Macaca fascicularis: one gene and its partners. The protein of the gene in region 4 interacts with the protein of the main gene of each other region in a biochemical or structural test. Links are inferred from orthologs where the notes say so. Each region holds a gene or a part of one and is shown on either strand. Other genes may lie near its edges.

Region 1 (4,786 bases), on a different chromosome or scaffold from region 4:
GGATCACTTGAGGCCAGGAGTTCAAGACCAGCCTGGCCAACATGGCCAAACCCGTCTCTACTAAAAATACAAAAATTAGCCAGGCATGGTGGCAGGTGCCTGTAATCCCAGCTACTTGGATGGCTGAGGCACAAGAATCGCTTGAACCTGGGAGGCAGAGATTGCAGTAAGCCGAGATTGCGCCACTGAACTCTAGCATGTGAAACCCAGTCTCAAAGAAAAGGCCAGGCGTGGTGTCTCACATCTGTAATCCTGGCACTTTGGAAGGCCAAGATGGGCAGATCACTTGAGTCAGGTGTTCGAGACCAGCCTGGCCAACATGGTGAAACTCCATCTCTACTAAAAATACAAAAAATTAACCAAGTGTGGTGGCATGCTCCTGTAATCCCAGCTACTTGGGAGGCTGAGACACAAGAATCCCTTGAACCCAGTAGGCAGAGGTTGCAGTGAGCTGAGATCGCACCATTGCACTCCAGCCTGGGCAACAGAGCAAGACTCTGTCTCCAAACAAACAAAAGACATGCCAAATGACATGGCAGGTATTGGGTTCTCCCCCACTGGTGATGGCCATGCTGTTTCTGTACAGCCTGAAGGTGAACCCAACCAGTAAGTACACTTGTAGAAATGAGGGGTATAGAGTGTCCTTTCTGCACCTGGGCACTTCACTTTGTCAGCAAAAAAAGCTAACAAACTTTACTATATTTGTGCTTCTTGACAGATAAAATGGGAATTACTAAGCTGTAATCAGGCCTAAAGTGGCCTGACTTAATACAGAGACTTTCTCACTTCTCCATCACAATTATTTGGGTAGCTTCGGCATGCAGCATTGTAAGTGAATACTCATATCTCATCAGCCTATGTAAAGCTTGAAGTTCTCGCAGTTGGAGAAAAAGAAAAAAAAAAAACCTTGAGGAAGTGGCAATAACTAAACCTCACTTGTCATGGAAAAATGACTCCAGTTGCCTAGGTGGTAGTAACCTTGAAATGCTGCTTATTCAATTTTAAGCACTGACCTGCCAAGTAACTAGTAATTCCCAACTCCCTAGAAGAGGTTCTCTTTTTCCCTAATCATAATCCCCACATGCTAAAACCAAATTCATCTAAGCCATCTATTTTATGCAGGATACATGTAAATCTTAGAGGATTATCCCAGCACTGAGCAGATGACAGATCAAACAGATCTCTCTTCATAGTTCTCTGGATGAAAAAAACAATGTTTATAAATAATCTGTATTGTTCACATTGCCAGGTTCAATTTTCTGGATCATTGTTACTCTTCTATTTTTTGCATAGTTGTAACAGAGTATTCTTTAAATATTTTTTTATGACATGCCTATTACGTACAAAACGCCACAAAGCTTATGTAGGTAAGTGATACATAGGCCCTACCTCAAGGAGCTTATAGTCTGAATAGGGGAGAGGTATGGTGAAGGATGGACAAATTATATGTATTTGTAAGAGTATATAATTTATGGTAAAACAATTTCCTCAAGAAAGGATTAAACCGTGTGTTATAATGTTTCAAAGAAGGGAGAGATTATAAACCACTGGGGTAAAAGGATAGGCTTCTTGGAGAAAGTGTCATTTGAGATATATCTTGGATGACAGATCAGATTCCCATAGAAGAGGCCTGAGAAAAGGGCATTCCATGTAGAAGGAATGACAAGAGCAAAGACATAGAGAGTTAATTAGAAAATGCTTGTCATTTATTTCATAATTTGGGGGAAATTATTTTGTTTTATAACACTTTTAAAAAATATTTAGCTTTGCAGTTCCTGATCCCTTAATGCCTGACCCTTCCAAGCAACCAAAGAACCAGCTTAATCCTATTGGTTCATTACAGGTAAGTTGTACAGTTCTTTGCCTACTGATGAAATATATAATAAGTTTGTAATATCAGAGGGGCTAACACAAGGAATTAATATTTTAAAGACAAGATAGTGATATATTTTGTTTGCCAACTTACGATCATTAGATTTATAGAGCTAACTTGAAATTATTCCATATACAGTATTTGCCTTTGGCTTATACAATTCTCATTTAAGATCAATAGGCCCTCAGTGCACATGGGTAGAGTGTTTTATACTTTAAGAATAGTTCTTGCTACTCTTGTGACAAATCTCTTTCTACTTCTGTTGAGACAGAAGACTTTATAAAGAGCCTAAATCAAATCAGTGAACCTAACTCAAGAAAAGGAGTCTGCTTATTTGCTTATTCTACCGAAAAAAGAAAAATTTATATCTACACACACTCACATATGCACACATATTCAGCTTTGAATTTCTATATGCAGAATATCCTTGCAGACTATTCATGTGCTCTGTTAGGCCATTCCCCTCCCCATTATTCAGCCAGTCCTTTGGTCTCTTTTTCCAGCACTATGAGCTTTTCTATAGTTTTCTTCACCTTCTGTCCCCCACCTCATCCAAGTCTGTTGTTTGCTGTCCCTACTCATGTGTTCTTGGCCAGCTGTGGGTTTGGAAGTCTATAGCTAGGAGGGGAGGGACTTTAGGAACTGATGGCAGTGAAACCTGTAGATGGTCTCCTCTGGTGTTCCCAAAGAGGGCGGTAGTAGCCTGTTTTTCTAGTTGAAGTCTCATACCAGCTCACTATGGTTTAATTCAAGAACACCATTCATAGCAGAAAACTGATTCAGTTTTGGTATTGGGATATAAAGATACAAAATGCAGGAATGTCTCTGAGAAATAGAGGGTCTTCCCTCTTTTTTCCGTTGCAGAAAATCACTATTCTTTTCAAACATATACATAGAAATGGGATCAAAATTAAGAAAATACTTATGTGATTGAGCCATTGCATAAAATTACTATTAAAGCCTCATCTTGATTTTATAGGAATTGGCTATTCATCATGGCTGGAGACTTCCTGAATATACCCTTTCCCAGGAGGGAGGACCTGCTCATAAGAGAGAATATACCACAATTTGCAGGCTAGAGTCATTTATGGAAACTGGTACTTATTTCTTACAATTAAAGGCATTTGAAATATTTTCAGATGATGAATGACTATAGAAATTTCTGTCATAATGTTTTCCAGTATTTCTATGCAGAAAAGTTGATACACTCCTCTTTTATAGTCTCTGACTTTCTGAGGCTGAACTTAAGTATAAATATTTGGCTTAAGATACTTAGTCTTAATTTGATATTTTTAAAAATCAGAGATTATTAATAGAAACTATTGGCTTGTACTTTAAACAGTCCTCATTGATAAATTAGTGACTTTAAAAAAACTCATTTTGGAGACAAAGCTATAGCAAATCTCTTGGATTTTATTTAAGAGCTATTCTATCTAGAAAATAGGACTAGAGGAAGATTACCCTTGAAAACGATATGATTAATAAGAGACTAGATGGCAAATAATTGCAGTGAGATAAAAATGAAAATTATCTTTCTTAATTGTAGCAACTCCTATGTTATAAAGGATATAAACTGTAAGAAACACTGTCACTTTAGAAAGTACTAGTGAGAATTCCTGTTAACTTTTCTGGCATGTTTTTGTCATTTTTTAAAGTGGCTTAAAATGGGATTTTACCTTAACTAGATAATAGTTTCAAGTAATAAGAAACTGTGTGCCTTTGGGAGGTAGTGTGGGCTCTTACAGAAAGCACCAGGTCAAAAGCAAGAACCTCAACTTCCATTTTTGATGCAGTCCTTGATTTGCAAAGTTAAGCAAATTAATCTCTCTGGACCTCAGTTTTTTAATCTATAAAACAAAAACATGGAGATAGATATTTGTGGTATCTTTCAACTCCAGCATCCCCTGTGCCTTTCTTATTCCTGTTTAAAGGAATTCCATATAATTGTCAGTTTAGAGAAGATCACAAGCAGGAAATAGACATTGAGAGAGAGGAGTTATAATTCAGATGTATTTTAATAAATATGAATAATTGGTCAGAATTAAATGTGGTTCAGTAATGCTAGACATAGGAAAATACAATTATTATAGAAAAACAGAAAGCATAACTATTAAAAACTTAAAACAAATGCCTTCAAAAGTGTAAGAATTAGTAACTATACAGGCCAGGCACAGTGGCTCACCTATAATCCCAGCCCTTTGGGAGGCTGAGGTGGGCCGATCGTCTGAGGTCAGGAGTTCGAGACCAGCCTGGCCAACATGGCAGAACCCTGTCTGTGCTAAATATAAAAAATTAGCCAGGTGTGGTGGCAGGCACCTGTAATCCCAGCTACTTGGAGGGGCTGAAGCAGGAGAATTGCTTGAACCCAGGAGGCGGAGGTTGCAGTGAGCCAAGATTGCACCACTGCACTTCAGCCTGGGCGACAGAGCAAGACTCCATCTCAAAAAAAAAAAAAAAAGAATTAATAGCTATACAAAAGAAATAACACAACAAACAAAGATACCAGGTCAGTAAGAACATAGTCTAGCATATAATAAAAACCATGAGGTTCTCTGATTAAATACAATACTTTATACAGTTTGATCATCCTCTGTGGACACTAATTTCTTTTCTAAATCTACCATTTCTTTTTCTTTGTTCAGGAAAGGGGGCATCAAAAAAGCAAGCCAAAAGGAATGCTGCTGAGAAATTTCTTGCCAAATTTAGTAATATTTCTCCAGAGAACCACATTTCTTTAGTGAGTAATGTTGACAGCTATGATGTTAATGTCATTAAGCATTTCTTGCTGTAGGAAACTTTCCTTGATTTCTTATTGTATGGCTACTTCAGAGTTGTGATTTTTAGAAATCTCTTCATTATTCAGTTATACACTACCCCATTTTTAGCTGCTTCCTGTTTGTGAGTCAGGATCAC
Region 2 (5,297 bases), on a different chromosome or scaffold from region 4:
TTTAAAGATGAATTTAATCTGGAGGAAAGCAAGAGCCTAGAGATGAAGAAAAACAGATTTCTGGACGGGCGTGGTAGCTCACGCCTGTAATCCCAGCACTTTGGGAGGCAGAGGCCGGTGGATTACCTGAGGGCAGGGGTTCAAGACCAACCTGACCAACACAGTGAAACCCCATCTCTACCAAAAATACAAAATTAGCTGGGTGTTGTGGTGCATGCCTGTAATCCCAGCTACTCGGGAGGCTGAGGCACAAGAATCGCTTGAACTTGGGAGGTGGAGGTTGCAGTGAGCCAAGATCACGCCATTGCACTCCAGCCTGGGCAACAAAAGTGAAACTCTGTCTCAAAAAAAAAAAAGAAAAGAAAAGAAAAGAAAAGAAAAGAAAAGAAAAGAAAACAAAAGAAAAGAAAAGAAAAGAAAGAAAGAAAGAAAGAAAAACAGATTTCTGAAGCATGTGAGTATCTGGATCTAGCAGCAGTGAGGCTTTTAGGTTATATGAGTTTAAAAAAAAATTCCTTTTTCACCTGCTTTGGCTTGTCATTCCCAATTAAGAGTTGGGGTTAACAAAATTTACTGGCTAATCTGCAAGCTATTCATAGCTCTAAAATCCCATGAGTCTAAATTTAACAAAAGATCTTGGAAGTAAAATAATCTACTGTTGAATGAAATATGTACATTGAAAATGCTTAAAAGATTAAACAGTTTGTTCTTGTGAAAGAAAAATGGACCACAGAGTTGAGCAATCTGAATAAGTATGATCCTAATCCTGCCAATCTGCAGCATGAATCTGACCACTTAATCTCTCTGGGCCTCTAAGAATATGAGAATACGAAGAGTACACTGAACAGACAACATTTAAGCTCTTACAAATTCCCTCATTTTAAACACTGTAAGACAATTGTCATCCTTGGTTAATTTACTATAAAGTGGCTATCCTTCATTTAGAAGGATAGTCTAAACAGATAAATCTAACCTAGATCTCTTGTATGCACAGTTCACAATACGGTTTGCGCTCTTATGAGGCTCTAATGCCCCCACTGATCCGACAGGAGGGGGAGCTCAAGTGGTAATGTTCGCCCGGTACCAATCTGGCCCCGGGGGGTTGGGGACCCCTGATTTAAAGTATCTATTGTCTACCAGGCACTGCACTAGTACTGAGAAGACAGATATGAATAAGACCCTGTCCCTGACATTGAAGGACTCACAGTCTAGCAGGGGAGAAAGGCAAGTGAATGTCTAATTATCCTACTTAGTAAGTGAAACAAAATTTCAAATATACTTAAGGTACAAAAATAGCCCAGGAAGTGACTGACTCTATCTGGGTAGCGTGAGGAAAGGCTTCACAGAGCAATGATATCTAAAATGAATTTTAATTTCAACAGATGATAAAGAGTTTGCCAAATCAACTAGAGGCATAGGATAGTACTAGACTGAAGAAACAGGTTGTTCAAAGGTACTCACAAGCAGTTCAGTATTGATGGAGTACAAAATAGGATGGGATAGCAAGGAAATAAATGAGTCTCAAGAGCAATTCAAGGATTATAAATGGTTACATACCCTATGCTACGTGGGATGGAATTTACCCTGTAAGCAGTGAGGAACTAACTACTGTAGGCATTTTTAAAGGAGAGGTTATTTATCAGATTTTTAAATGTCGTATTGTTTTCATTAGAGTTCAAATAAGAATTTAGTATTAAAAATTGTGAATAACAAGCTACCTTTACGAACCTAAAAAAAATTTATTATGTAACTTTGCCCAACAGTCTCTGCCTAGCATATTACCTAGCACATTATAGCCAGCGTTTGATAAATGATGACTAAACTGTAGAAGACAGACTATCAGTGGGCATGGTGCTTAATAATAAAGATTTTAAAATGTAGAAATAGAAACGTAGACTGGCAAAAAGTGCAAAAATGTTTTAAGGTTTCTTTCTTTCTTTCTTTTTTTGAGACAGTCTCGCTCTGTCGCCCAGGCTGGAATGCAGTGGCGCGATCTTGGCTCATTGCAACCTCCGCCTCCCGGGTTCAAGCAATTCTCCTGCCTCAGCCTCCCAAGTAGCTGGGATTACAAGCGCCCGCCACCACGTCCGGCTAAATTTTTTTGTATTTTTAGTAGAGACGGAGTTTCACCATGTTAGCGAGGGTGGTCTCGATCTCCTGACCTCGTGATCTGCCCACCTCCGCCTCCCAAAGTGCTGGGATTACAGGCGTGAGCCACTGCGCCCGGCCCTTAAGGTTCCTTTCAGGGGATGGGGGAAAAGGGAGGAAATGGCCTTCCTCCTCAAATGCAGACGTTTCTCTTAATGACTTTTTTCCTTCTGTATAGTTACCAGAACTTAACCAAAGCCTTCTTTTCCTTCCCAATTCTTTCCCTTACATAATACTCACATGCAAATACTCCTAGCCACAACCTAGTAAAGCAACTTCCCCAGCATTGTCCAATCTAAGTTTATTATCTTCTTCAACACTACACACTCTGTCTTCAGCTTCAAAATTTCAAAAGTCCTCTAATGTTCTACTTTTAATATGCTCATAACCATTTCAAAATAAAATGTTGCTAGAATATCTCTATCATGCTCACTGCTATATCCTCTTCCAACCCCACCTTCATCATTTGAAATCTGCATTACAGCTCCACTCTCCCTATTCAGTACTACAAACCCCATTAAGGAAGGCAGGCCAGAATTTGGAATTACTTAAGTCCAGGTGTATTTAATGTGCGTGGTCATTCTAGTGGACTAACTCTGTTTGTCTTTGTCCTTACTGTAGAGCTAAATGACTTCACAAGGGCCCGTGTAACACCAGTATTGCAGACCCAAGTGTCACAAATTCAACTAGCACATTCTGTTTTTCTCCCCCTTCTTCTATTCCTGTAGAAGATGAATCCGCAGGCAAGAATGATGGATCAGTGAAAGGGAGGGGGAATACGAAAGCCCAGAGGCGGAGACTTCACTTCCGACTGCCACGCTATATCAAGAAAGCCAAGAGATAGTCTGGCCTTTCCGCAAGCCACAAGAAAAGGCAGATCAGACTTTTCGGGCTCCTCGGGTAGTTCTCAAAGACAAAGACAAAAATAAGAAACTAGTCTGAAGAAAGAGAGTCCCTTGCTTCTTCAGAACTCACCTGTCAAGAGCGGCGTGGACGGCGCCATGTTGTCCCGGAAAAAGAAACCGCTCGGGTGAGAGTTCACGAGGGCCGAACCCGGCCCCTACACGTCTCCTCCTGCGTGGAAACAGCGAGCTGGTGTTTCCGGAGCCATCAGCCTCGGGGCCAATTCACTTCCGGTTGCGGAGTGACGCGGAAGAGGCGCCCGAACGCGCAAGCACAGATCTGGGGCGACGCTTGACCGAGCTTGGGAGGGCTGGACTGGGGTGGGTGCGTCTGCTTTCGCCCTCCTTCTCTAGCAGGAGGGGCGCGCACTTCCGCGGGGCGGAGCCCACCTAGTGCTGACGTTGGCAGCCGAACCCAAAGTAGATCGAGGCGGCGGGCTGCACATTCCCGTTGTTGCGTTGCGTTTCCTTCCTCTTTCACTCCGCGCTCCCGGCGGCGGCCAAAGCGGCGGCGACTGCGGTGCGAGAACGACCCGGCGGCCAGTTATCTTCCTCCCGTGCACCCGCCAGGCTTGGCCAGTCAGTCGGCGACCGGCGCCCGGCTTGTGCTCAGTCCCCGCGCTTGCCGCGCCCAGGCCCAGCGGCCGTAGCCAGCGCCTGGCCTGAGAACCTCGGCGCTCCGGCGGCGCGGGCACCACGAGCCGAGCCTCGCAGCGGCTCGAGAGGAGGCAGGCGAGCGAGCGAGTCCGAGGGGTGGCCGGGGCAGGTGGTGGCGCCGCGAAGATGGTCGCCAAGCAGAGGATCCGTATGGCCAACGAGAAGCACAGCAAGAACATCACCCAGCGCGGCAACGTCGCCAAGACCTCGGTAAGGAAAGAGCGGTCGCCCCTCTGCGTTCCGCAGCCGGGGCACAGTCGGGGTCCCTGGGGCCGCGTCGCGTTTTCTCCCGGATCCGGCCGACTGTGGGCTGTGCTGTGGAGGGGTAGGGGCCCGAGTCTGCGAGCCGCCAGACTGTAGGGGCTCGGGAACCGAAGGGGAGACCTGTGGGTGAGGGGACCGGCCACCGGGGCTGTGGGAGCCTGGGGTCCGAGTGGTTTGTCTGCATCTGAAATGGTGGATTTTCGCTTTTGCAGAGAAATGCCCCCGAAGAGAAGGCGTCTGTAGGACCCTGGTTATTGGCTCTCTTCATTTTTGTTGTCTGTGGCTCTGGTAAGTGTCTTGCGGGCTCCCATCAGGTAGAGTCTTGGGTTGAAAGGGTTTGGGATGACGTGGTGACCGGTCAGTAGTGGGTCCTACCTGCGTAGTTCTCAACCCACCTGCCGAGGACTCCACATAATTCTGTTTCATCTGAACCAAATTACTTGTTCCACATATGCACAGAGGGTAGTGCTCCAGAAACTTCTCCTAGCTTAATTTGTACTCACAGGAGATCAGAAAGGAGGTCAAGTCTTGGTAATGATCGAGTTGGAATAAATGTACGACCGGACAAAACCTAACGGAATGATAATTTAGAATGTTTTTTAGCTTCATTATCAGCCTTTGCAAAGGAACTTATAAATATGTACATACAGATGTTAGCACTTGATTTAACATATACCAGAATTTAATATCTTAATGTCAAAATTGAGTATATTTTATGAAGTAAAGCTTGTGCAAAGAATTGATTCACTGTAGAGGAAATGTACCTGATTGGCATTTTAATGTGAGTCAAATGTTTTTAGGTTAATAAAAGAAACGTTTGACATATGGTTTAAAAAAAATTGTCAGGGCAGCCTGCTGTCAGAGTAACAGACACTTGCCTTTGCAAATAGATTACAAAAAAAAGGTCTTTCCTCTCTTCGTTTATCATCTTAATATGCAAGCTGTTAATATTGAAGTAGATGTTGGTTTTCCACTTTCTAAAGTTACTGAGATTTCTGTTTAACGTTTCACTTTGCCTTTCTTTTGCACTTACCAATTGGAAACTTTCCTGATAAATGGCTGAGAGCCAAGCAGTTTATATAACCTGAAGATTATTGAATTTCAGCTTTGTGAGAATGAGGAAACATGCTTGTGTTATAGGCCAGGCCTTAAAAGGATGCTTAATTATTTAGGGATAAACCAAAATAATTCTATGCTGGAAAAACCTGTTTGCTTTGGTGCTTTAAGTTCTTTGTAAAATGATTACTTATCTGGAAGTTCTCTTGGTAATACTTAGACATAAAATTCAGCGAAGCTAAGATTAAAAAAAATAACTCAGGGACATTT
Region 3 (5,285 bases), on a different chromosome or scaffold from region 4:
GGGTGGAAAGGGCCTCAGTACAGGGAACCGCCCCCACCCCCAAACACACATAACCTTCCCTCATGGCCCCTGACTCAAAGGAAGACAGGCATGCATGCGAAATGAGGATGGAGCACACCTGCAGAGCACCAACAGGATTGCACTCAGACTGCTGAGGGGAGACAGGGGGCTGCAGTTCCATGGGGGGGCTCCTGAAGGAAAAAGGGCACAGGGCCAAAGTTGAGGTGAAGGGTTCCATCTGAGCCTGCCCATGAGCTCCAAGCCTAACCACTACTTTAGATTCCTGACTACCATCTCCTGATTCCCACCGGGCAGGCAGCTGTCTGTTCACACATCGAGCCTGCTCCCTCCTGCTCTAGCCGGCTTCCTTCCCCCTCCCACTCAAGGGAGGCCTTCTCCAGGCCCCAGCCCATTTCCAATCTGGAACACTTGTGTATCATCCAAGCCAGGACAGTGGGAGAAGAGCTGTATTTCCAGTCCCAGAAGTGCCTGATGGGCCTCAAACACAGAACTGACATGTGGTCAACCCAGAAGAAAATGGGGCCTGCGAGACCCTTAAATATGGTCGAACATCATCCATAAGGCTATCTGAAAATCACAAATGACCTTCTGTCCCAAGAGCTTACCCCAGCTGCTGTGATTTCTTCAAGTTCTGGTTCCCAACTATTCCATTCTGTTTATTCTCAGACTTCCTCATGCCTGACCAGCCTGGGTCCAAAGACTGAGGAGCCAAAAACCAGAACCCCTTCCTCCACCCACCTCAGGCAGTCAGGGAACACAGATACCTGGTTAGGACAACAGATGGAACTGGGGTAGCAGCTGCTGCAGCAGTAAAAATCGGAATGTCCTCAGGCAGTGAAGAGTCTAGGGGAGAAAAAGAACTTCCCGAGGGGAAGGGGGCCTTTGATTCACACCCATGTATAGGGGGAAGAGAGGGGTGGGGGACCCACGTCCTCCTGACCTCCCGATCCCCTAAGAGAACTTCCAAATTGAGCCAAAGAATCAGGGAGGCTCAACCAACAGCTTCCTCCTGGGATCCTTTGCCGCCAAACACCGGCAAAAAGACAGAAAAGAGGGTCTCTTTGTACCAAAGAACCAGAGGAGCAACAAACTCCAACCTGCGCGTGAAGGAAGGACATCTTGCTAGAACAAGGAGGTATGTTGGGGAGCAACTCCCTTTAGCCTCAGCCTCCACCCCTCTCCCTCCCTAACCCAGGTCCCAATCTACTGCCACAACCCCTCTATGGGGCTAACCAACCCCTCCACCCCAAGAATTCTTCATAGCAGCAAACGCCCTGGAAGACCCTGTTCAGGTCCAGAGGGACTCTCAGGAAGAGGCCAGGTCAGGGTGGCTAAGTGTCACCTGGCCAGGCCTGGTGGCAGAGGGGGTGGTGCAGGGCCTGGGTTCCTTGAAGGGCTTCTGGGATGCCTCGGTTCCTCCCTCACCTGCTGTCCTCCAAGGCCGGCTCCAGCATGCTCCCCCCTTTGAGGTGTTTGAGGGCCACCTCAGCTGCCTTGTGCTTGGCTGCCTTCTTGCTGGGGCCCTGACCTGAGAGAGGGGGCATGGGCAATACTGGAGGTCACTGGAAGGATGGGAGAGAAACCAGCATCCCACAGCCTCTCTCCTCAGAGCCAGTGGGAATCCATCAAGCCCCTTCTGACCAACCACCCCCTGCTGAAGACTGGAAGTGTTTCACTAATTGCTAGAAGGAAGAGCCCTTATCTTTCCATTAGCTTCCAGACCAGAATTAAGCCATGCCAAGCAGGACTTCTGAGCTCAAACGCCTTGGGTGGACTTCTGAACTCAAATGCTTTAATTTCCTTTGCAAAGCACTTTCTTTTCCCTCAATAAAAACAGAGAGCTGGAATAAGAGAGGGTAGGCTCTGGAGTAAAAGCCCCACTCCGCCACACACTAGGCATGTGACCATGCACCAGCCATTTACTATCTCAAATACTCAGTTTCCTCATATTCAACATGGGCGGGCGGGGGGAGGAGTGGGGGGGGGATACTGCCACCTACATCACTGGTTAGACTGAGGTTTAAAATTAAATGGGAATTTGGTTAAGCACCGGGAACAGAGCCCAGCATGCCAGGCACTCACTCCCCCAAATACTCCACTGGGATTTCAGTTATCTTCTCTTCCTTTTCCTCTAGGGTGATGTGGCAGTCCTGATCGATCCTCTAACTCTCCCACGTCCTACCCACCTTCTCACAGCCCTGTTCTCCCAATCCAGTCAGTAGCTTTTCCCCTGAAATCTCTCCTTCCCTCACTGGCCTTGAAGAAAAGGACTGTGAAGAAAGAGACTCCAAGAAACAAAGTCATGGGGACCTGCAAATGCACACCCCAGCCAGGCTGCCCAAGCCTTCCTCACCAGTGCAGCTGGTGTCGCCAACGGTGACCCGGAAGGTGAAATTAGGCTGGTGGGCTTGGCCCTCGGCTTTGAGAAGGTCGTACACAGGCGTCTTCCCTATTCTGGTCCCATACTCCTGCAGAAGGCTGATCGGGGTCTTGCCTGGGTTGGCGGCCAGCATTTGCTCTATACTGGGGGAAGGGGCACAGACCCATATCACACCTCCCCTCTCTGCACCCACCTGGCCAAGCACTTCCATACCAGACCTAGGCACATTATGGGGGACATAGGGTCCAAGGAACCCCAGGCAGTCTAGCATCCATTGGCTGGGTTCCAAGTGTAGGTGCAGGCTGGAAGAGTAGGGCCCACTACCTCAAAGCAAGGGGGGAAGAATGCACTGCTCCTGCCTCAGTTAAGGTGGGCACGATCCTGTGCCCCATGCAGGTTGAAAGTGCATACCCCCTGACACAGTGCAAGCCAGGAACCCAGTACCCACCAAATGCACTGAATGTGGGGGCATAAAGCCCAGTGTTCCAGTGCAGTCTGGGAACCGGGCCAACCCCAAACTATTTAGAGCTGAAGGCAGCAGCCACTGCCCCGGTGCACGCCGGGAACCACTGCCCACTGCCCCAGTGCTTGCCGGGAACAACCCTCAGGCCAGGTGCATGCTGGGGCCGCGCCGCTACTCCCTCCGCACGGCCCCACGCTTTTTGCCCAGAAGGAATCGGTACGAGGCGGCTCACCTAGGCAGCCCGCAGCCCGTGGTAATGCCGGAGCCTTGCTCCTCTTCACTCATTCCCTCCTCCGTCCCCGCGGGCGCCACCGTGAGTGCAGCCTCCACGCGCCCCAATACACCGCCGACGAGCTAGGGCCGGGGCCAAGCCCGGAGTCGCGGCCGGTAGGGCCCGCCGAGGGGCACGCTGGGATATGGAGTCCCCCGCCCACCCTACTTCATGAGCCTCCATCTGGAGGGGAGCTATCCGCCCCACAACCCTCCGCGTGGCTCGCCCGGGCCGGCTGCACCGCCTTCTGGGAGGAGCGGGCTCTCCGCAGTCGCTTCTCGAGAAGGCTGTATTTTTTTGTTTGTAATACCGTCCCGCCTCCTTCCTTCCGCGCCCCCTCTCTCCCGGGCCGTGAGGCTGTGGACATGCGTACTAGCGGAGGGGAAGCCGCTGGGTAGCGGGGCGGTAAGGACTCACTTGGGCACGGAGCCTTTTGGATCCCGAGAAAACTACAGAACCCAGGAGCCCGCGCGCCATCTTTGCCGCAGCTGGAGGGGCAGGGTCAAGCACGCACGAGAAGCTTCATGTTGTCATTGGTTACTCCCATTGCGTTTACTTCCTCTAGGCACATTGGAATTGGTTACTTCGACCAAAGGGGCGGGGACAAGGAAAAATCAGCCCCCTGACCCCGCCTCCTTGGTGAAGGAAGGTTGTGATTGGTCCGGAGAGGTTGCTGTCGGATCCGGGCTCTTTGAGGTCTGAGAGGGTGGGCTTTACCTAGACGCCGGAGGGGACCGATGTCTGTCTACGCAGGGCTCTGGAGCTGGTGCAGATCCAAGTCAGTCTCAGACAGTCCCCTCAACCCACAGCCTAAGCCCCTGGCCCTTGGGCCTCCGTGACACAGAACTTGCTTCCTCTTCCTAGGTTGTCCTTCACCTCCTTCAGGTTTTGCTTCTTTTGTAAAACCTTTTTAGAACGGCTCTAGTGAACCTCTCTAACTGGCAAGGAAATCTCTGGGGCCTGATAATCAGGCTGTGGTGTGGGGCGACAGGATTAGAAGGACTAGGCACCTGGTGGTCTCGTTCCCTCTGCCATGAGTCTTGGGTCTCTCAGCTGAAGAAAGCAAGAGTGAATTTTGGCCGCCTAAGACTAATCAACTGATCTGGGTGTTGAGCAGACGCAAATTTTTTAGTCCTAGAGCCCCATTGCCTCCTCCCCCAAAGTCGCACAACCACTGGGCTAAGGGAAATCTTGTGACCTTGGAGAAAGGGAGATATCACATTTTTAAAAAATAAATAAATAAATAAAGGTTCTAATGAGTGTTCTGAGAAGGGGTCAAGAAAGAGATGTCTTACTCTGAGGCGGGGCTGGAGGTCCAGAGGAATCTTTAAATGATAATGAGGGGTCATCCAGGAACACTGGAGGAGGATGGGGCCTAGAGTCGAGTGAATTCCAAGTGGGTGAAATTAGAGTGAGCGGTGACAATCAAGGGAAGGAGAGCTGGCAAGATCAGTATGATAGGGGGAGCAATGCCAGAGCGCTAGGGATCCCAACTGAGGGGCTGCTCTCTCCGATGTAGAAAGGAGTCTATAAGACGAGTCATAGGGGGTTCCTGTGGAATCAGCCTAAGGCCTGAGGTGGGACCTCCATAGGACACCGCCAGCAGGGAAGCGCGGGGCCCAGGCGGGCCAGGGACGAGAGTGGAGCGCGCCGGATGGCAGCAGCGGGCTCCTTTAAGAGGCCGGCGGCTCCATCGCAGCATCCCCCGCTCAGGGCGTGTCCGTCCCGGGGGGCCAGGGGCGGGGGCCCTGGAAGGAGCGGGAGTTCAAGCCGAGCAGGGACGGGGCTAGGGGTCGGGGGGTGGGGGCAGCAAGCTGAAGCTGACACCCGTGCATCCGGACACCGCACGAGCATCGCCTGTGACAGCGCCCCGGGTCCGGTGGAGGGCAGCGGGGGGAGGAGGGAAGGAGGAGGAGAAGGAGGAGGAGGCGGGAGCAGCATCCGGAGCGGAGCTGCAGCAGCGCCGCCTTTTGTGCTGCGGCCGCGGAGCCCCCGAGGTGAGAGCCTGGCCGAGTTGTGGGGGGGTGGGGGGCAGGGATGGGTCCGGGTCCTGGGATCCGGGCGTGGAGGGAGGGTCGGGATGCAGATGTGGCCTGGTGCGGGTGGTGGTGTGGGGATGCTGAAGCTGTGGGGATGGAGGAACTGGGGAC
Region 4 (4,786 bases):
CATATACTCTAAACTTTTTTCTTCTAAACATAAAACATTCTACACTCCTGCAGCCTTTTTACTTCTTTAAGCAGGTAGACAAACATGTAGTTGATACTAAGTGGAAGCACAGGGCAGAGTTAAAGAGAAGGACCCCCTTTCACTGACCAGCTGAGTTTTTTTTTCTTTCCTTTATTTTTTAAAACAATTCTGAAATTGACACGGGGTTTTGCCGTGTTGCCCAGGCTGGTGTTGAACTCCTGAGCTCAGGTGATCCGCCCGCCTTGGCCTCCCAAAATGCTGGGATTTTATAGGTGTGAGCCACCACCCCTGGCCAAGTTGAGTTTTCAAAGTAGAAAATTTGGAGAAATTAACTTTATTGTGCAGTGAGTGAGAAAGAAAGAACAGTTTTGAAAGAAAGTCTCTGCATTTATGTGGGACTGAGATGAGTCCTATAAAGGAGAGTCTCCCCAACCCCTCTGTCTCCTAAACTGCACTGGGAAACTCAGGTTAAATATGTTCTGTTAGCATCACTCATTCAAATGTCTCTTCCATTGTAGGATACTGGAAGAAATGGCTGGTCATCTTGTACCAGGTTTCTACATGGAGGAACTTAATAAATACCGTCAGAAGCAGGGAATATCATTGAGCTATCAAGAACTGCCTAATACAGGACCTCCACATGATAGGAGGTAAGTTGCTATAAACAATGATATGATCTTATAAATGTAAACTGGGGGAATGGCAACTCTGGCACAACTTTGAGGTCAACACTTTTGTTTTGTGAGAGTCCGCTTGGCGTAAAGCGGTAACCACTTTGGAGCCACAGATGATTCCAGAGAGAAGAGAGGGTAGAAACCTTTCCACACTTCAACAAGACATGCTGTTTTACTGCTTGGGGTGACTGCTTCCATTCTATGTTGAATGTACGTTCAAACCCTCAAAGGTAGTCATAGGAGGTAGTGGTAACTAGAGCACTTGTTTTTAGATAGTGCATGAGTTGTATAATATTTTATGAATATTCTTTTTGTAATCAGGTTTACATTTCAAGTTGTAACAGATAGAAGAACATTTCCAGAAGCTGAAGGTAGATCAAAGAAGGAAGCAAAAAATGCTGCAGCCAAATTAGCTGTTGATATACTTAATAAGGAAAGCGAGGTGAGTGATTGCCTTTTTTTCCTAGTAAATGGGAACTTGCAAATGCATTTTCTATTTCTCTCTGTGAGAAAATACTTCCATACAGAGTAAAGCCATTCACACGTTACCTTACATTCAAGAGTTTGGTTCAGTCATTCCCCCCATCTTCATTTCTATGAAACCCTGAGTGAGAGCTGCACACCCAGGACGCCGTGGGCAAAGCTGGAGAATAGTTATTCAGAGTGTCAGCAGCAGTTAAATACTCTAAAATTGAACAAATATGGAAAGATGAGAAGTGTTCAGTGGGAAATGAGCTGACAGGTTCTGGGATGAGTCCCCTCCATCTAATTGAGGAAGTGCAGTAAAAGAGGAAAAAGAGATGAAAGTGATTATAGGGAGAATGATGTACAGCGGTCACTCACTGTCTGTGGGGAATTGGTACCAGGACTCCCTGTGGATGCCAAAATCCACTGATGCTCAAGTCTTTTATATAAAATGGCATAGTATTTGCATATAACCTATTTGCATCTTCCCATATACAGTTATGCGTTGCTTAACAAGGAGAATACATTGTAAGAAATGCATTCTTAGGCAATTTTCTCATTGGGCAAACAACACAGAAGTACTTACACAATCCTAAATGGAGCAACCACTACGCACCTAGGCTATGTAGTATAGCCTATTACTCCTAGACTACACACCTGTACAGCATGTTATTATACTGAAAACTGTAGCCAATCGTAACACAATTTAGTATTCATGTATCTAAACATATCTAAATATAGAAAAAGTACAGTAAAAATACAGTATAAAAGACAAAAGGCTGGGCGCGGTGGCTCACACCTGTCATCCTAGCATTTTGGGAGGCTGAGGCAGGTGGATCACCTGAGGTCAGGAGTTGAAAACCAGCCTGGCCAACATGGTGAAACCCTATCTCTACTAAAAATACAAAAAATTAGCTGGGCGTGGTGGCGGGCACCTGTAATCCCAGCTACTTGGGAGGCTGAGGCAGGAGAATTGCTTGAACCCGGGAAACAGAGGTTGCAGCGAGCCTGAGGTCGTGCCATTGCACTCCAGCCTGGGGACCCTGTCTCAAAAAGAAAAAAAAAAAGACAAAAGTACACCCATATAGGGCACATACCATGCATAAATAGAGCTTGCAGGACTGGAAGTTGCTCTGAGTGAGTCAGTGAGTGGGTGGTGAGTGAATGTGAAGGCCTAGGGCATTATTGTATACCACTGTAGACTTTATAAACACTGTATACATAAGCTACATTCATTTTATTAAAAATTTTTTTCTTCAATAATAAATTAACCTTAGCTTACGGTAACTCTTTTACTTTATAAACTTCTTATTTTTAACATTTTGACTCTTTCCTAATAACACTTAGCTTAAAACACAAACGCAGCCAGGCGCAGTGGCTCATGCCTGTAATCCCAGCACTTTGGGAAGCCGAGGCGGGTAGATCACCTGAGGTCAGGAGTTTGAGACCAGCCTGGCCAACACGGTGAAACCCTGTCTCTACTAAAAATACAAAAATTAGCCAGGTGTAGTGGGGGTCGCCTGTAATCCCAGCTACTTGGGAGGCTGAAGCAGGAGAATTGCTTGAACTCAGGAGGCGGAGGTTGCAGTGAGCCGAGATCATGCCACTGCATTCCAGCCTGGGCAACAGGGCAAGACTCCATCTCAAAAAAACAAAACAAAACAAAAACGAAAACAAAAACACATAGTATGGCTGTACAAAAATATTTTGTTTTGTTACATCTTTATTCTATAAGCTTTTTTCTATTTTTAGAATTTTAAACTTCTTTTTTTTTTTAACTTTTAAACTTTGTTGTTAAAAAATTAAAACATGATTGGGCACAGTGTTTCATGCCTGGGATGTCGAGGAGCCATGATTATGCCACTGTACTCCAGCCTGGGTGACAGAATGAGACCCTGTCTCAAAAAAAAAAAAAAAAAATGCTGGGCATGGTGGTTCATGCCTGTAATCCCAGCACTTTGGTAGTCAAGGTAGGTGGATCACTTGAATTTGGGAGTTTGGGATTAGCCTAGGCAACATGGTGAAACCCTCTCTGTACTAAAAATACAAAACACTAGCCAGGCTTGGTGGCACGTGCCTGTAGTTCCAGCTACTCAGGAAGCCGAGGCAGGAGGATCATGTGCCTGACATGTCATGGCTGCAGTGAGCTGTGATCTTGTGACTACACTCCAGCCTGGGCAACAGAGCAAGACCCTGTCTCAAAAAAAAAGAAAGAAAAAAATTACAACACACACACACACACCAGCCTGCCTACACAGCATCAGGATCATCAGCGTCACTGTCTTCCACCTCCACATTTTGTCCCTCTGGAAAGTGTTCAGGAGCAAAAACATACATGGAGCTATTCTTTCCTATTGTAGCAATTCCTTCTTTTGGATTACCTACCGAAGGACCTGCCTGAGACTGTTTTACAGTTTACTTTTTTTTTTTTTTTAAGTAGAAAGAGTGCCTTCTAAAATAATGATTAAAAAGTATAATAAATATATAAACCAGTAACAGTTACTTATTATTATCCAGTATTATGTACTGTACATAATTGTATGTGCCAGACTTTTTTATAAGACTGTAGCACAGTAGATTTGTTTAGAGCAGTGTCACTGCAAACATGTGAGTAATGCATGGTGCTGTAACCCAGGAGTTTGAGATTGGCCTGGGCAATATGGCGAAACCCTGTCTGTACTAAAAATACAAAAAATTAGCCATTATAGTGGCTATGACCTCACTAGATGACAGTAATTTTTTAGCTCCATTATAATCTTACGGGACCACTGTCATATATGCAGTCCATTGTTGACCAAAATGTCATTATGCAGTACATGATTATCCTTTAGATCATCTCTAGATTACTTATAATATCTCTAATACAATGTAAATGCTATGTAAATAGTTTTTTGTTGTTGTTGTTTTTTGAGACAGGGTCTTACTATCACCCAGGCTGGAGTGCAGTGGCATGATCAAGGCTCACTGCAGCCTCAGTCTCCCCAGGCTCAGGTGATCCTCCCACCTCAGCATCCCAACTGACTCGGACTACAGGCACGAGCCACCACACCTGGCCAATTTTTGTATTTTTTGTAGAGATGGAATCTCACTATGTTGTCCAGGCTGGTCTTGAACTCCTGAGCTCAAGCGATCCGCCCACCTCAGCCTCCCAAAGTGCTAGGATCGCAGGTGTGAGCCACCACAGCCAGCTATAAGTAGTTGTTATGCTGTATTGTTTAGGGAATAATGACAAGGAAAAAAACTGAATATGTTTAGTACAGATGCAACCAGCAATTTTTTTCAAATATTTTTGATTGTGATTGGTGAATCCAGGGATTTGGAACCCGTGGATATAGAGAGCCAAGTGTTTACAGAGAGCAGATAATGGAGAACCAATATACATGTGACTGGTGTCCCTGAAAATAAGAACAGAGTAAATAGTACAGAAGAAAATGATCTGAAGAGATTTCAGCAGAAAATGTTTATGAAATAAAGACTTGGCTACAGATTAAAACAACTTAATAGATACAGGAAAATTTAGAAACACCCAGACCAACATTGATTCTTTTTTTCTCTTTTATTTTTTATTTTTGAGACAGAGTCTCGCTCTGTTGCCCAGGCTGGAGTGCAGTGGCACAATCTCTGCT

What was found.
Region 1: the proteins of EIF2AK2 (region 4) and PRKRA form a complex in vitro, tested with the Homo sapiens proteins (3 studies listed by BioGRID and IntAct, with this or other methods). The link is inferred for Macaca fascicularis from reciprocal best matches to the Homo sapiens genes EIF2AK2 and PRKRA.
Region 2: of the proteins of EIF2AK2 (region 4) and EIF2A, one has a biochemical effect on the other in vitro, tested with the Homo sapiens proteins (4 studies listed by BioGRID, with this or other methods). The link is inferred for Macaca fascicularis from reciprocal best matches to the Homo sapiens genes EIF2AK2 and EIF2A.
Region 3: the proteins of EIF2AK2 (region 4) and TARBP2 form a complex in vitro, tested with the Homo sapiens proteins (2 studies listed by BioGRID, with this or other methods). The link is inferred for Macaca fascicularis from reciprocal best matches to the Homo sapiens genes EIF2AK2 and TARBP2.

What each region holds. Positions count from the first base shown.
Region 1 is NC_088386.1:74,014,264-74,019,049, reverse strand, and holds part of PRKRA (interferon-inducible double-stranded RNA-dependent protein kinase activator A), read left to right. Parts: intron 1-718; exon of another isoform or gene 719-828; intron 829-1,764; coding exon 1,765-1,843; intron 1,844-2,852; coding exon 2,853-2,970; intron 2,971-4,515; coding exon 4,516-4,610; intron 4,611-4,786. UniProt on the Homo sapiens protein: Activates EIF2AK2/PKR in the absence of double-stranded RNA (dsRNA), leading to phosphorylation of EIF2S1/EFI2-alpha and inhibition of translation and induction of apoptosis.
Region 2 is NC_088376.1:53,385,656-53,390,952, reverse strand, and holds the start of EIF2A (eukaryotic translation initiation factor 2A), read right to left. Parts: upstream 3,181-5,297; 5' UTR 3,152-3,180; coding exon 3,124-3,151; intron 1-3,123. Other genes in the region: SERP1 (stress-associated endoplasmic reticulum protein 1), read left to right, coding at 3,834-3,917, 4,184-4,259. UniProt on the Homo sapiens protein: Functions in the early steps of protein synthesis of a small number of specific mRNAs. Acts by directing the binding of methionyl-tRNAi to 40S ribosomal subunits.
Region 3 is NC_088385.1:60,310,851-60,316,135, reverse strand, and holds the start of TARBP2 (RISC-loading complex subunit TARBP2), read right to left. Parts: upstream 3,385-5,285; 5' UTR 3,150-3,384; coding exon 3,097-3,149; intron 2,973-3,096; exon of another isoform or gene 2,850-2,972; intron 2,545-2,849; coding exon 2,375-2,544; intron 1,550-2,374; coding exon 1,447-1,549; exon of another isoform or gene 1,364-1,446; intron 882-1,363; coding exon 786-881; intron 192-785; coding exon 119-191; intron 1-118. UniProt on the Homo sapiens protein: Required for formation of the RNA induced silencing complex (RISC). Component of the RISC loading complex (RLC), also known as the micro-RNA (miRNA) loading complex (miRLC), which is composed of DICER1, AGO2 and TARBP2.
Region 4 is NC_088387.1:85,033,377-85,038,162, forward strand, and holds part of EIF2AK2 (interferon-induced, double-stranded RNA-activated protein kinase), read left to right. Parts: intron 1-539; 5' UTR 540-552; coding exon 553-671; intron 672-1,016; coding exon 1,017-1,137; intron 1,138-4,786.